Linked DNA regions of Neodiprion lecontei. The protein of the gene in region 2 purifies or fractionates together with the protein of the main gene of each other region. This does not show direct contact. Links are inferred from orthologs where the notes say so. Each region holds a gene or a part of one and is shown on either strand. Other genes may lie near its edges.

Region 1 (7,996 bases), on a different chromosome or scaffold from region 2:
ATAAATACAGTTGTTGAATTTTCAACATTTTTTCAAATAAGGCATGTTGTTGCTCCTGGAGAGAAATGCACTGACTTGAGTATATACATATTATACTTTCAACAACTGTAATTGTAAATTAATGATAACGAGTCTATTCTCAGCTCGAAATAATAAACACATAAAATCAGTAATGGGAAATGCAAAATATGTACGTTATAAATAATGAGTAATGTATACGGGTATAGGCAGTTTTCCGTTCTTTGATTAAGTTTTCTCTTCCTTTCTTCATTGCTACAATGTAATATTTCAACCCACCATGATTTCTTTTCGTTTTTATTCTTGTTTCTTATGCGAGATATGCCTGAACTAAGCTTCACTGTTTCTAATTATTGACTTTTAGGTAGTTAAAAAAAAAATCAAAAACCACTAGTCTTTTTACCAACCGCAAATAACCAAAGTTTTATCAATACTTGATCTTAGCTCAAACAGCGAACCACAATTAACTGACATAAATCCTTTTACATGATTCTAATCGAAAGACAATCCGCCATTAATTATTCGTGATTTCTATAATCCATAAATTTGTTTTACTGATCAGGTAAATCAAATTGGTAGTATACAAGCATGCATTCGTTTTTTTAAATTCTGTAACGTTTTTTTTCTTATTTATTCTCCTTTCGTACAGATTATCTTCATTCTATGAACAAATTTCTGTAAACGTATTGACATTGTACACATCATTTGATAACATAATATTCTTGTTGATGCTTGAATGCGCCCTTTCTACTAATTGTTGTTTCTTTTTTTGTGTTGTTTCAGAATAGCAGTTAAAATTGTGAAACGTTCCTCGCAAATAGCTAACGAACTTTTAAACGATGAAATAACTGTGTAGACTTAGTTATTCGTGTAAGAAAACACATTGTGATCCGTACATATAAAAACTGACACATATTGCCGGGGTTGAATACGATAAAGTAATAAATAATATCGTTCAAAAGTCAAAGAATCTTTAAGCTTTGACCATGACTAAAGACCATGCAAAAATCAGGGGCTATCGTTAAGTTTCCATTTTGATGAAACAATAAACAACGTAGTAAGTCTTTTTTAATTATTCCACATTGTTTTAGGGTGTTTTTATACCAAATGGTATGAATGCAAAATCTTTTATTTTACGAAAATGTCTTCCTTCGTCAAGTAAAAAAATGCGTCTCCCTTTTCATTTCTGTTCCTTTGCTCACAAGCAACGGTTACACTGTGTACATCTATATTATGTACACGTACAAGTACGTACACGTGAGTATACGTATAAACAGCCGCACTTTTGTCTTACAATGTCGATATTAGAGACAATATCATATATTTAATTATAAAATAATTCAATCTCGTTCTGCTCTTTCTTCCGCTCTTTCCTCCGCTCTTGCTTTCATTCGCGTGATAAAAGCTTGGCCTTTACTTTTTCTGAAGTTCTCGTACGGGTCATTCAAATTAATCCCAACACCTTTGTACTGGTCATTTTTGTCCCGTATTTCCCCTCCTGATATCGGTGCTTCAATTCCTTGTTCATTTGCACCCAAACCAGCTCCACCCCATCCCATTTTTTTCAATAATTGATGGCCTTTATTACTCTCATCTAAACTTATCTCCTGCTGTGCTTTGCTGTACGTTGATCCCCTATTGAAGTGTATAAGTCAGCATTTCGTTATCACATATTGGTAAAATTCATTTGAATGAAAAATGTACTTTTGTACCGGAACTATATCGAAAAAAGTCAACAAATTGATTTTTCCATTTGACAAAGTTACGAAAAATCGTACAAGGAAACTAACCACGCGAATTTTAAATAATTTTAACTCACTAATTAAGTTTAAAAAAAATATAATGACGTAAATATGCTTACAGAAAACTAGGTGGCGTAGGACTTCGGTCAGATCTGTCCCCTCGCTTGCTGTCTGGACTCCTTTCTTTGTTGCTATTTCTTCTGTTTCTCCTACTCCTGCTATTGTGATTGCTACTATTACGGGAATTGCGCCGGTGATTACTCGTTGGTGATCTAGATCTGCTTCGGCCCTTCGATCTAGACCTGGATCTGCTGCGAGATTTACTTCTGTATCGTTTTTTGGGCGGACTCGGGCTTTTAGATCGTGGCCTTAAAATAGGGGACGGTGATCGAGACCTCTGTCTTAATCCACTCAGAATGTCTTCCTCCTTTCGTTTGCGTGCCGCATTTTTCGCCTTGTAGTACTCATACAGACCGAGTTTCTCCCAGCCGTCACTAAAATTCGATAGTAACAATATAAGCATGCATGCATTTAGTCCAATAGTAATATACCTAACATCAGCGTCACATCGCTGTGAATTGGTGTATTTGCCTGAATATCGTATGTAAATGTGTCGGTATAACATGAAATTATTACTAAACATTGATTTACCTATCCCTGGGTGAATCGTGATTTGGAGGAGCATAAAATGCTTCGACTGCAGCAACTAATCTATCACTCGGTGGAGCCGGTGGTGGAAGTCTTATAGCATCTGGATCTAATGACTTATATTCGCCGTCCTCCAATTTGATGAGTGGGACCATTAAGCCAGCTGGTAATTCGAAGTATGGCATACTAGGCATAAGATCTTCCATGGATGGTTCGTGAATGATCGGTGGAGGGCCAAAGCCAGGTGGTGGTTTAGAGAAGTCCGGTAATGGAACATTGGTAAACGGAGGTGGTTCCGGAGCCCCAGGAACTCCCCAGCCTGGTGGGGGCTGACTAAAATTCATATCACCACCAGACATTGGAGGAGGCGGCCCAGTGTGAGTTGGTGGTATGTTTAAATTTGGTTGGTTCTGTATAAAACATTTTCATTAATTAGAAGCGCGAAACATTTTTTGAATATGCAATATCAGTTTATTTTACAACAAAGCTTACCATTTGCGGTGGCGGAGGTGGTGGAGCTTTAAGCTGCTGATCAATGGAAATTTTCTGCTGCTCTATAGTTTGAATTTGTCTCATAGCATGATTGATGAAGGCCTGATGCTGAGCTTGATAATTTTCAAAAGTCTGTTTGGTTGATGTGGTGATTGGTGTAATGGCACTTGCATGTTTTGAAACTAAACTGGCCTGGTATTCTGACCAAGATATACTCGGTTGCTTCAACTTCTCGATTATTCCATCGTCAAAGTAATTATTTTTAGATTCCCAAAGGCTTAAAAGTTTGTTCAATTTATTAAGCTGTTCATCGGTAGCAGCCAATGACGTGTTGCAGAACATCGGGACAACAACGCTTTCCATTGCTTTGCGAAGATCGATTGATTTTTTCCTCGCACTAAGAAATTGTTTTAAGATTTACAATAATGTATACATGATTATATTGTATGTGTTGGATAAAAAGGTACAGAACCAATTCTAGAATATCTTTTATAAACCAGTTATATGCATTTCCAGTTTGCATTCATTTGACCAGTCTGCTTATCCTACCTTCAGGTAAGCACTGAGTCGAAATAAACTTTTGAAATAATAATCCTCTTTGTGAAATACACTTGTGTGCTTACCAATGATGAAGAACATCGTTTACTAAGTAAATCACGTGTAACTTCTGGCTGAAAGCTGCTCCTTGAATTACTCTAAAATTTATTACAGAAATTACTATAATTCGATTAAAAAAAAAATTAATATGGTTTTGTTGCCGGCTAAGCTTTGATGTGAAATTTTGATAACTTTAAACACATCGAGAAATGGTGATGAACAGATATACATACTTTTTCAGCAAATGCTCAGCGATAACTTGATTGCTTTGTGCTGTGATAGAATTCTGTAGTATCCAAGCCTTTCCGGCACTGATGCTGTCCTTAGTGCAGCTCTCGATAATGGGTTGTAGTACAGAATCAAATGCAGAAAGGTCAGTGTTTGTATGCTGAGCATTATTTTGCAGCGATGCTTCTTGAGCTTGTCTGACAGCCTCCTCGACTCTCCCTTGTTGTTGAGCCATTAAAGCGGCGTGTTGGGCAGCGAGGTTTTGCTCAGATTGCCTAACTTGTTCTCGGAGTGTAGCTTGCTGTGACTGAAGCTGCGCAAGTTCATTTCGCAACCAACCTGAAGGACCGGCAATATTGACACCAGAATTAACTCCTCCGATCGGCGAATTCACGTTCCTTATTGGTCCAGGAATGGCCCCAACAGGTGGTCCCACATTTCCAGGCCCTCCGATTGGTCCTGGAACTCCGGATACTCCGGGTACCCCAGTTATCCCTGGTATAACGGGCCCTGGGTTCCCGACCACTTGGCTTAAACCGTTGTTTTGAGCGCTCAGGCTCGAGGCAAGACTGACGTTATTTTGTGGCGAAGCGACGGCCGCGGCTGTTTGCTGCTGCTGCGAAACGTTTAAACGTGGGTCGGCATTTTGCATTGGATTTATTCCTTTTTGCTTTAAAACTGTAAACGAATGACGGTGGATTATTGCAATTTGTTTTCATTTCTTCATGATATTGAAAAAATAAACTAATGGTCCATGTTTTTTACTTTTTTTTTGTTATTTTTTTGTCATTTTTAATTCGGTTGTTTTTTGGATGAATATCTTCGAATGGCACATATTAATTTTTCTGGCATCATGTAAGAATGCATTAAGTCTACTGTTAAATTTAAAGCGCCACTGAACACAGAATGTGTTGTTTTCTTTCTTTCATCGTGCTACACCAAACAGTTGAGTACAGGAGCATGTATGTAAAACAGATTTTACTGCGGCAGTGTGTAGTACTCTTCATAAACATAAAAGTAGTTGGTATTTTAAACATTTGTATCCTTGCCGATCTAATCTTGGATCAGATAACAATCCTAAAGCTACATCTTGTTCTTATTTGTATTTTAAGAAAGCCCCTTTCACATTTCTAGTTTTTTTCAAGTCTTATAATAAATAACGATTCCCAAAATCTTGAACGATGTCCTGATTTGCACAAATGACATTTTTCATCTCATTGCACGGTGGTGATGTTTTGTTCATTTGACGATTTCATACGTTTTCTCATAGTCGTTTTTTTGTTTTTTTTTTTTTTGGGTTTGCTTCTAGCTCATTGAACGAAGACCTTTTTTTGTACGTTGTTAAGGGGATTTGTTCCCACTTACTGGCTTGCTCCGTTGTCACTTTGTATTGATAGTAGTTAAAGTGCTCTCCGCCAAACAGGAAACCAAACTTCGGGTTATCCTTTTGCTTGTTTTTCGTCATCTGCTCAAACTCTGGTCCGTTACGTGCGACAAATTGAGCCAGCTTGTCTATGATGTTGCGCAAGTCCGTGTCTATTAAATCATTTAAAACAGAACTTTGTTAGAACAATCGGCATCCAACAACAATGTAAGCTTACATCATATTTCATGGAAAAAAAGGATCATCATCTTACCCGGTATTATTTTCTAGACAGATTATTTTCTAAAATATTCAAGAAATCATTATGACATATAAGTACAATATCCTAGTTACAGTTCTGATATAAAAAATAATCCAACATTTAGATAGCTATCCTGTTATTTATTAACTTTAAAATATAAATGGAAACAATATGTAACCATCGCAGAACAAGATATGATATCAAGATAAGGATATCAATATAATGTTATTGCGGTATTGAAGAGTATCAGATATTTCTCTTGAGACAAATCGTTTATGATATAACTTAAAAGATTCTCCAGACTTGTTTGATCGCAATTTAGATGTCGATTACGTGTTGTGAAATGAATATGGAATACAAATATTTACCCTGTTAAAATCATAACCATACCTAAGGTTTGATTAACAGATTGTATATCTTGAAGGGTGATTGTAGGAGAGAAAGCAGCGAACGGACAATGAATGTGAACGTGGAAAACAAAAATAATCACCGATATTTCGCCGAGTGTTGTAAAAGATTCGTAGATAGTCATACTTAGTAATAAATCAAAATTCCAAATTCTCATCGGGGTGCCGATTTCGGCAATTTTAAGGTGGACGTGAGAGGAGCCACATAACCTAATACAATTCCTGTACACAACGATATGTTTGTGTAGCACAGGGTGAGAGAAATCTGCAGTGATTTGTATTTACTCGTCAAGTTGTAAAGGTGGAGAGTAATATTGTATTGATGGGCGAAAAATTAAGCCGAAAAATTAATTGATACGTGATACGTAGTGTGGAAATAATACCGCGCTTCGTTGATTCTTGGGATTGTGATTTTTTTTCTCTACCTGCAGGAGCCTGATCCATTTCTTCTTCGTGGGTACTCGAGACTCGTCGTGTAACGAATAATTCACACTTAATAATGAAACTCTATCGTATTTTCAACTGTAATGTTGTGCCGAAAACCATTATGCTCACGATACAGCGACAACGCTAGACATCGCCATTTTTTTCACTTCGTCTCCCTCGCCGGTGACTCAAGAATGTAAAGACAGTCCCCCTAGTGGACTTTGGTGTGACAACCGAAAATCGTCGTGCGCTTGCGCCCTCTGAGATGTTCCAACGGTAGAGTTGAGAACTTATTGCAGAACATCAGAGAGATACGATTTCGACATGATGCTGGCTGCATTCACCGTGATCCACAGACAACTTATAGCCATTCATCTACATTCGTCGCTAAAGTTTTCGATGTAACGCACAGAGGGAGCAGCGATCGCCCCCAACGCCACTGGCATTTCTTCCATTTTGGCTGATCGTCTATCCGACGGACATATGTACGACGAAGCGTTGTCAAGTTCTTTTAAAATCTTCCAAGTATTACGTTTCGTTACACCGATACCGTTACTCACGGAGAACAGGTAAGTTTGTAATATAATAGTAATATCTGCTATTCCATATCATTTTTCATTAAGGTGCTCAACGCCGGCTGAGATTCCAAAATTTATGACACGTGAGGTTGATCTACTCAAATGCAATTTTCAGTATCTTCTACAATGTTACGATCATTTTACCAGGTTAAAGAGTCTTCCAGTTGCCAAATCATTGTGTCGCGTTTCTAAATTTAATCGACGCTACTTTCATGAATTGATTGGAATGATGGGTATCAATACTCGAGACGTTGCGATACCCTAACCTCAAATAGTTCAATGCTCCATCCTGAGTCGTACTATCCTTTCAAACGCAGAGATATTCTGGATCTCCACCATTCTTTGAAATCCTAAATATACATTTATAAATTTATGAAGATCGTTTACTTTGTAAATTGCTCGCTATTATTCCGTTCGCTATCTACACTTCCTTAATCAATCAGGTGTAAACAAATGTTTCTTAACAATCGAAGGTTCCTGTACAGGGAAATTGATAGTAATTTAAAATCGAAAGTCTTCCGCTTGAATTGGAATTCTTCTAGAGGCTGAAAAGTTTGATAAGTTACAATTAAAAGACATGTGAAACGTTAAAGAGAAACAACTAGTAAAAGGTAGAAAAAACGTTAGGATTGATATACTTGGCCCAACACTATTGTTTACCCATCTACTAGATTAGAGGTGTTTTTCAAACTTGCAGACATGCCGGTAACAGAAGAAGTTAAATCCAGTTGGGCAGATGAAGTTGAGGAAGAAGGAGGAGCACTGCCACCACCGACAGAGGTCTATGAAAATGGATTCAAAATCCTTACAGAATACAAATACAACGAAGACGATAAGAAAGTAAAAGTTGTCCGTACATATAAGGTGGAACGTCGTATAGTATCAAAGACTATAGCCGTGCGGAAAAACTGGGCAAAGTTTGGAGACTCCTCGGACGACAGACCTGGACCAAATCCAGCCACAACTGTCGGAGCAGAAGATGTCTTCATGCAGTTCATTTCAAATAAGGAAGAAGAGAACAAGGTCGAAGAAGACTCACTTGACAAATTGAAGAGTATCGGGGACAAGGGTGTCGTCAAGTGTCGTAACTGCAATGGTGATCACTGGACTTCAAAGTGTCCTTACAAAGACACTATACTCGCTGGAGGTAACTTGATACTGATATTTACCCATTATTTGAAGTTCTTGCATTCACTCATCCAAAAACTTTATAATATTCAGGAGCCCTCGCTATA
Region 2 (7,244 bases):
GAGAAACTAGAGGACGGCCTTAACATGGATAAAACTTTTTTTCTCAGTATATATTTTATTGCAAGAGTAATAATGTTCCAAATGATCTTTAACTGCGAGGTTTTGGTGAGAACTAGTGCTACTATCTGGGAAAAAATACACATCATCGTACGAGGCAATCTAGACGAATTGCACAACCTCGAAACCTGACTTCTTTTTTATTTAGAGGAAGTGCAATTCGTCTAGATTGCCTCGTACGATGATGTGTATTTTTTTTTCATATAGCATCACTAATGCCGACGAAAACCTCGCAGTTACAAATTTTTTGAAACATTATTACTTTCATGATAAAATATATAGTGCGAAAAAAAGTTCTTCCGATGTCACTTCCATAAGAAACTTCGATCACAATGCGGGCTATCTCAGACTTGCTGTAAGAATCTGAAAAAAACTTGGCGACTCTTTTTAAATGATTTGAAATTGATTTCGGTGATGGGGTGGTAAAAATTCATCAACACCCTAAACAAGGACCACCCTAATGTACATTAGAGTAGTATGTGCGGCGAAAAAAATGTTAATCTTCTGTGATGAAAGTTTCAATGCAAGAAGAAACCTTTCGCAAAAGATTTTCTGTACACTGTTGGACAAAGTTTGTTGCTAGTGGGAAGTGAGAGACTTACCGTTTAGATTTTTTAATGCTCGTTCGCCATCCTTGCGACTCATGAATGCAACGAAACCGCAATTCCTTTGTCTGGCTTTTTCTTCATCGCTGCGAGGCCACATGATTTTTATACTGGCCAGCGGTCCATATTTGCCAAATATTTCCATTAACTGCTGTTCTGTGATCTGTCAGAGAGTGAATGTCAATTTTGAGGGACACAGATGGAAATTAATTGATACACAAAGTACTGTGAAAAGCTTAAAGAGGGCGAATGCATACCTTTGGATTCAAATTACCAAGGTACAAGTTTGTCGTGTTTGGATCTCCGTTGTCAAAGGAACCATCTGTAAAGCCAAATTGATGTGTTTGAAAATCCTTTTAATTATTTTTCAATGAAGAGTAATTCCGTTCTAGAATTCCCATCACAGCCACAAGGCGATCACGGTCGTTTCTTAATATTCAAAAAACGTTGCTCAAATCAAGAAGACATGAAGCGGTGCATTTTAGAAATATTTGTTTCTGAAATAACGACGTTTTATAATATATTGTACCTTACATTTACTGTTACCTTACATTATTCTCCATAAATTCAATGATACTATGGCTAATTATCTCTTTCCATATGTTTGCAATGTGCGTTAAATCGAAAACTTTTTTGAAGATATCCAAAAGAAATTTATTAGATTTTGCTAATCAAACAATTTCGTTAGTTTCGATGTTGGCATTTTGAGATAAATCTGTATTATACAAACATAGATTAGTATTGGCTCAGTAAAAATTGTGGAACAGATAATGAAATGTAATCGCTGGCAATCAAATATTGAGCGTTTTAAACAGAATTTGAAATATTCGAAATTTAGTCTCTTCAATTTATTCCAAACGATTTTTTTGACAAGATTTGGTATAAAAATATAGCTGATGAATCAAGGTCAAGATATTTCAATCACTACGCTGTAGATACAAATGTTTTCCTGTTAGTAAAAGTTTGTAGTTGACACACAAAACATTTTTGAATTTAGGGAAAAATAATTAAATTTTGAGTGTTTCTATCAAGAGCAACGTTTCTTCAATTCACAAAAAAATTGACAATGAACTCCATGGGTGAATTCTGTGTAAAGTACGAAGAAAATTACTCTGAAAGTGCGGACAAATAAATTGTAGGATGGGATTGGGAATTACCCGAGTAGATCAGGGCTAGGAGACTAGGATCGTCTATGAAGTTACGCAGATTAGCCTTTCGCGGGTCTGGATAGAAGCACGTACCTAGCAAAATTGCAATTCGACTCAATGAGACTACCAGGAACGAATAATTTGAAGTTGAAACCATAGACTGTTCAATAACTATGACTAAAGTGTGAATTTGGGCTATAATAATTCAATGAAGAAATCGAACTTTGGATTGACTAGGATTTTGAGAGATGGATTGAGAATAAAAAAAAAATTTAAGTAATGGTTAAATATCTACCACCTTCGACGCATTTGAGAGCGGCGAGCATCGGGTCCTCAGTTTGGGCTGAAATTACTGTTTTCACTACTCCCTTGTACTTGTGTCTTTCCTCCCGCTCTTCCTGTATCATTTTAAGTTCTTCCTTGAAAAGCTCCAGGTTGCTTTTCTTCTTTTCACCCTCCTTCTTCTTTTTACCCAATCTGTCGAGTTTCCTCTCATTGCTACCAAGCAGTCGTGCGTATTCCTGTGCTTGCTCAGCCGAGGATTTGTTGTCCACGAGCTCAGAGATTTTTGACTGTGGTTTGTAAAGTTTACCCTTCTCCCTTGTGTCCTCCTCTGAGTAAACGAGATTTCAAAAATAATTTTACAATAAGATTTGGCACAATTTGGTTTCAACGAATTTTGAGATATGTGTAAAAGATTACGTCCTAAGTCTGAGAAATTACGAACACAAGGTAACAGATAACAATAACGTATAAAATTCCAGGACAGTTCCAAAATTATAATAAAATAATTAGCAAACAGGAATCATCGATGTAATTCGAGACTTCTTTTGCTTAGGAATTGTGTTAATGTTTTTAGGAGTGTTTATTAAATTTAATTCAAACTACCTGTGAAAAACTCTCTATGCAAATAGTTCGAACATACCGGTGCTTCAAAAATTTAATTCTAATTATTCAATACAATTTTGTTCCAAAGGTATACATGACAGCAAGAATAATTGAAAATTGATGACATCGTATCATAAGGTGCAATTTTTTTTACATTGAATTCTCAGACTTTGATTGAAGCTGCATTTTCAGCGTTATAAGATTAATTTTCAAATTTGAATAACTAAAGCTTACGTCGTTTTCCGGCATCGTAAGTTCCGGCCTTCACCCAGATTTTATTACTTGTTTTGTTAGGAGTTTCTTGAAATGTTGCGACAAACTCTTCAAAAGCCTAAGGTAAGAAAAATTGTTAACTTTTTCTCGAGCTAGAAATACTTTTAAAAATAGGTAAATTCTGAGATAGTGACTCCGCTGATGTTAGCACTAGTTACTAGCCACACGAATCTCGCAAAAAAATAAAATGAATTTGGTCACTATTAGAATAAATCAGAAATTAGGAAAAGTGAAAAACCATCTAAACAATCTCCAGCAATATTTTTTGCCCACTAATCTTGGTGTACACAAATGAAAAAATATCGCTATTATGTAATAGAAATGATTTTATGTAAATTTGGAAAACACTAGTAAGGATATCGACAATTTGAGGTGGTGTAATTACAATATTTGAAATTATTAAACTATGGTGTTTTTCATTCTATTCTAATGTTTCTTGGCTTATTTTGTTCACTATAGAGATCACAAGAGGTAGCCTGACAAATGTTTAGCAAATAGTTCTCAAAAAAAAATGACCATAGATTTTTGCAAATACGGTACAATAATCTTTGGAAAACTTTTATGCAAAAAATAAGTCTAAGAACATTAAAATCGAATTAAAAACACCAAAACTCAAGTATTTTAAATTCTGAAATTGTTGATATCGTACATGTGACTTGAATTTACTCGGATCCATTTCCAACACTCAGTAAAGATATTATGTCATTCAAATTCACCACCATTGACGCAAATAATATGGCTGAAAATTGTTTGTACAGTTTTTTTCTATTCTCTTAGCTTTTGTTTTATACAGCACGTCTACTTCATTCTTTAATCATCACAAAAGTTTTCAGTAATAATGATATTCTTTTTCTACAATAATACTACAATTTAAAGTGGCGTTGCTTCAGAGTTGCTAACGCATGTGATCATCGATGTTAAAATCGTAAAATTTAGTGACATTGCAATGCCTTGTGTTTATAGGCGACTCTAGCAGAGTCCCTCTTCCATGCGAAAGACAGCATTGAATTTCTTTATCCGTTTGTGAGACTTTATCTACCTGAGCCGCTGCCTGCTCTTGTTCCTTTTTTCGTTGTTCTTCGAGTTCTTTTTTGCTGAGAGGCCGCTTTCCCATCGTGCCTATGGAGAACGCTTTCAACTTCTGTTCAGCAATTTGCTGCAACGTTAAAATCGCAAGGGCTGAATGTACGTGTTGTGCCGATATAATTCACTGTCAAATTTAAAACAATTAGGTGGGCGTACCTTCATCATTGCCTTGTCCGCCATCTCGTCTGTTTTTGTGATGTAGACTGATGTGGAAGTATGAATATAAGGGCTATACAATCGGGTAATCCGACGCGATAAGCTTAACCTAAAAATTCATCTTTCGCGACGCGATATTTGCGGGCAGGGACGAAAATCGATGGAAGTGTCTCAACTGCATAAATTCTCGCCGAACGAAATAGACAAATAATTCCGCACGGACTTTATAATGTTACATTACATTTGTCAGTCACTGAGTAAACTTTATTCAGCAGTTTTCGCAGACACACAACGATTCGAAAAACCCGAAGCATCGAATGCAAAAAGGTTTTATGTCATGGTTTATGCAAAGAGAATTAGATAGAGTGAACGCTGAGCCCCCTGACACATGCTGCTAACAGTGGTTCGCAAAATGTCCCTCGATTCTGCCGCCAATTTCCACCACTAGTGGCGCTAGTAGTTGTCTGTCAAGCTTGCGCGCGGTCAGCGAGGGCAGCGACGTGTCTAAAGTCTACTAGCACCACGTGGAAGAACTAAAAAACGGGAACAAAACGCGTACAATTTTTTAGTATACGAGCAGTGGTGAGTGTCAGGGGGCTGCCATAAGGCCGCAATGTAATTTTGTGTTGACAATGATGTTCACGGCGTTCAGCGCCTCTTTCAATTCAGCCTTTTAAACGGCCAATCCTTAGCGCCAATTTCAAACTCACAATCAGACACGGTGAATTGAGAGGAGTGTGCGTTGGAAGATGATGCCAAAATATTTCATTATTGAAAAATTAATTTTTATTCCAAATAGGCAAGAAATATTTTTATGGTATTCAGCACACCGTTACCAGATATTATAATAATATTACGGTATCCAATCTTAGATGTAATTATTATTAATCAAATATCACAATGTCAATTATTATGTATTGATCGATAATTAATGTCAACTTAAATTTATTATGTACAATTAGTTGGATTGATACCAGTAGCAGAATCAAACATGCTTACTTAGTAGCTAAGGTTTGATTTGATTTTTGTACGTTCTGATGTGTAACTACTGGGTTTCTTGGGTCATTGATAATATTTACAATTACTTTTCCGTCCTCACCTGAGATCACTATCTGAGATACATTATTGGAATGAATATTGATTGTCTGTGTTTGAGCGGGTGATACTCTGTTCTGTTCTGCTATTTTTAGCAAACCCGACCCTGTATGTTTATTTGTAATTCGAAATTCCACATTGACACATGAAATTACGAAAAATATATCGATCAAGGTATAGAAACCAATATTTATATACCTTCAACAGATTTCTGGCTGTGTGATTTTAGGGACTATTTTGCCTCAGGAAGCTTACGAATGGTTAGTACAGCATTTCATACTAACAACGGCCTTGGGAATTTCTTTATAATCAGGTTATTGTCAAAATGGTCTGTACAAATTCGAATATGACAAAAATCATTGTTTTGTTCAACGAATTTCAACCATTTATCACTCCTGTAAACAAAAGATGTATACAACTTGTAGATAGCGTGCACTGATATTTATACTATAGTAATTGAATACGTGAAGCAAATAACGATTCTTAACTTTGAGAATAAATATATAATTATGAATTAGCTACATCATTTATTTTTACTTTTAACACAGAAATGGTGATGCAGGGTGTCCCAGCTCCAAGTGACCAAACTAACAGGGGTTATAGAAAATATCAAACTGAGTAAATACACTCAAAGAATACGTAGTCTCCGAAGTCGCGTTCGCGAGATACGACCGGTTAAAAAAGTCCCGCTAAGCGCCGGCATGTAGGCAACCGAGTATACAGCAGGCAGTGATTAGTGGTCTTGTTGATCGCTCGAAACGCACATTGAATTTGCGCCAAATACAATAACGAAGCTGCGTGATGAAAATGGAGAACGTTTTCGAGTTTAAGAATTCCCTACAACAGTGTTTTCGATATCAAATTTTATTATCCACATTTGGCGCTTGATACCAAGTGCAACATTCTCCAAGAATTCCGGTAGGACTTCTTTCAGACGAATTAGGTACATTCGGTCATTCAAGCGTGACGGTAAGAAACAAACTCCAATTAGCTGGTTGTCAAGAATCCCTGCCTACGCGTTTACGCCGAATTTTACCTGATGTGCATGTTTGAAAGTAGCATGAGGGTTCACTTGAATCCAGACATGACTGTTACGTGAATTAAACATCCCCTCTCGCGTAAATGAGAACTCATCAGAGAACAACTTTGTTGAGGAACTCTGGGTCATTCGCGTCGCGTTCCAACAACCACCAACACAAATCGACCCGAGCAGATTAATCCTCAGGAAAGAGACCATGAACTTTCTGCCGTTGGAATGGATTTTTCCCATCGTCGTGCAAAACTCGAAAAATCTTTGAACGGCTGATGTCAAGTGAAGATGCAGCCGCACGGAAACTCGTTGACCGGTTGTTTTCGAAATGCTGCAGCTCTTTTCCCTTGGTTTACGCGAGGCCTAATGATAATAAATAATTCGAAAAATGTTTCGTATTTAAACTGTTTGACAGATTTGGAAAATGACCTGAAACATATCTAAAACGAACCTGTCTCACGGAACCTCCGATGCACTGCTGTAAACGTACGGTAGTGCGGAAGTACTCGATCAGGAAAGCGGTGCTCATAAATCCGTTGGGCTAACAGCGAATTTCTTTCTGCAGCTCCGTATGCAAGTTGCATGTCAGCTTGTTTATTGAACGTCAATCGCGGCATGCTAGTCAACAAAAAAAGAAGCAATATACCACTCAGAATACTAAACGAGAACGATGCAAAACCGAATGAGACCGATTATACAGTTCAACGTGAATGAATGATAAGGCTATTTCCATCGCACGTCCTCGTTGTTGTGTTTGGGGGAAATTCAATGTCAAGAGTGTTTTCGTTTGAAATTCGTGAATTTGAAACCATTTTGTTTTGCATCAATAGTCAAGCACGCAATGAGTGCGCATCAACAAGACCGCTAACCAGTGGCTGCTGTATGCTCGGTTGCCTACATGCCGGC

The links. The genes of interacting proteins can lie anywhere in the genome.
Region 1: the proteins of U2 snRNP-associated SURP motif-containing protein (region 2) and calcium homeostasis endoplasmic reticulum protein purify together in Homo sapiens (affinity purification with mass spectrometry; 4 studies listed by BioGRID and IntAct, with this or other methods). This does not show direct contact. The link is inferred for Neodiprion lecontei from reciprocal best matches to the Homo sapiens genes U2SURP and CHERP.

The regions. Positions count from the first base shown.
Region 1 is NC_060263.1:36,425,744-36,433,739, reverse strand, and holds calcium homeostasis endoplasmic reticulum protein, read right to left. Parts: upstream 6,428-7,996; 5' UTR 6,202-6,427; coding exon 6,183-6,201; intron 5,262-6,182; coding exon 5,091-5,261; intron 4,404-5,090; coding exon 3,731-4,403; intron 3,596-3,730; coding exon 3,524-3,595; intron 3,298-3,523; coding exon 2,901-3,297; intron 2,819-2,900; coding exon 2,412-2,818; intron 2,255-2,411; coding exon 1,880-2,254; intron 1,654-1,879; coding exon 1,359-1,653; 3' UTR 1,132-1,358; downstream 1-1,131. Other genes in the region: eukaryotic translation initiation factor 3 subunit G, read left to right, coding at 7,461-7,908. UniProt on the Homo sapiens protein: Involved in calcium homeostasis, growth and proliferation.
Region 2 is NC_060264.1:17,303,997-17,311,240, forward strand, and holds the start of U2 snRNP-associated SURP motif-containing protein, read right to left. Parts: upstream 4,537-7,244; 5' UTR 4,238-4,536; coding exon 4,214-4,237; intron 4,128-4,213; coding exon 4,011-4,127; intron 3,030-4,010; coding exon 2,933-3,029; intron 2,424-2,932; coding exon 2,106-2,423; intron 985-2,105; coding exon 920-984; intron 826-919; coding exon 660-825; intron 1-659.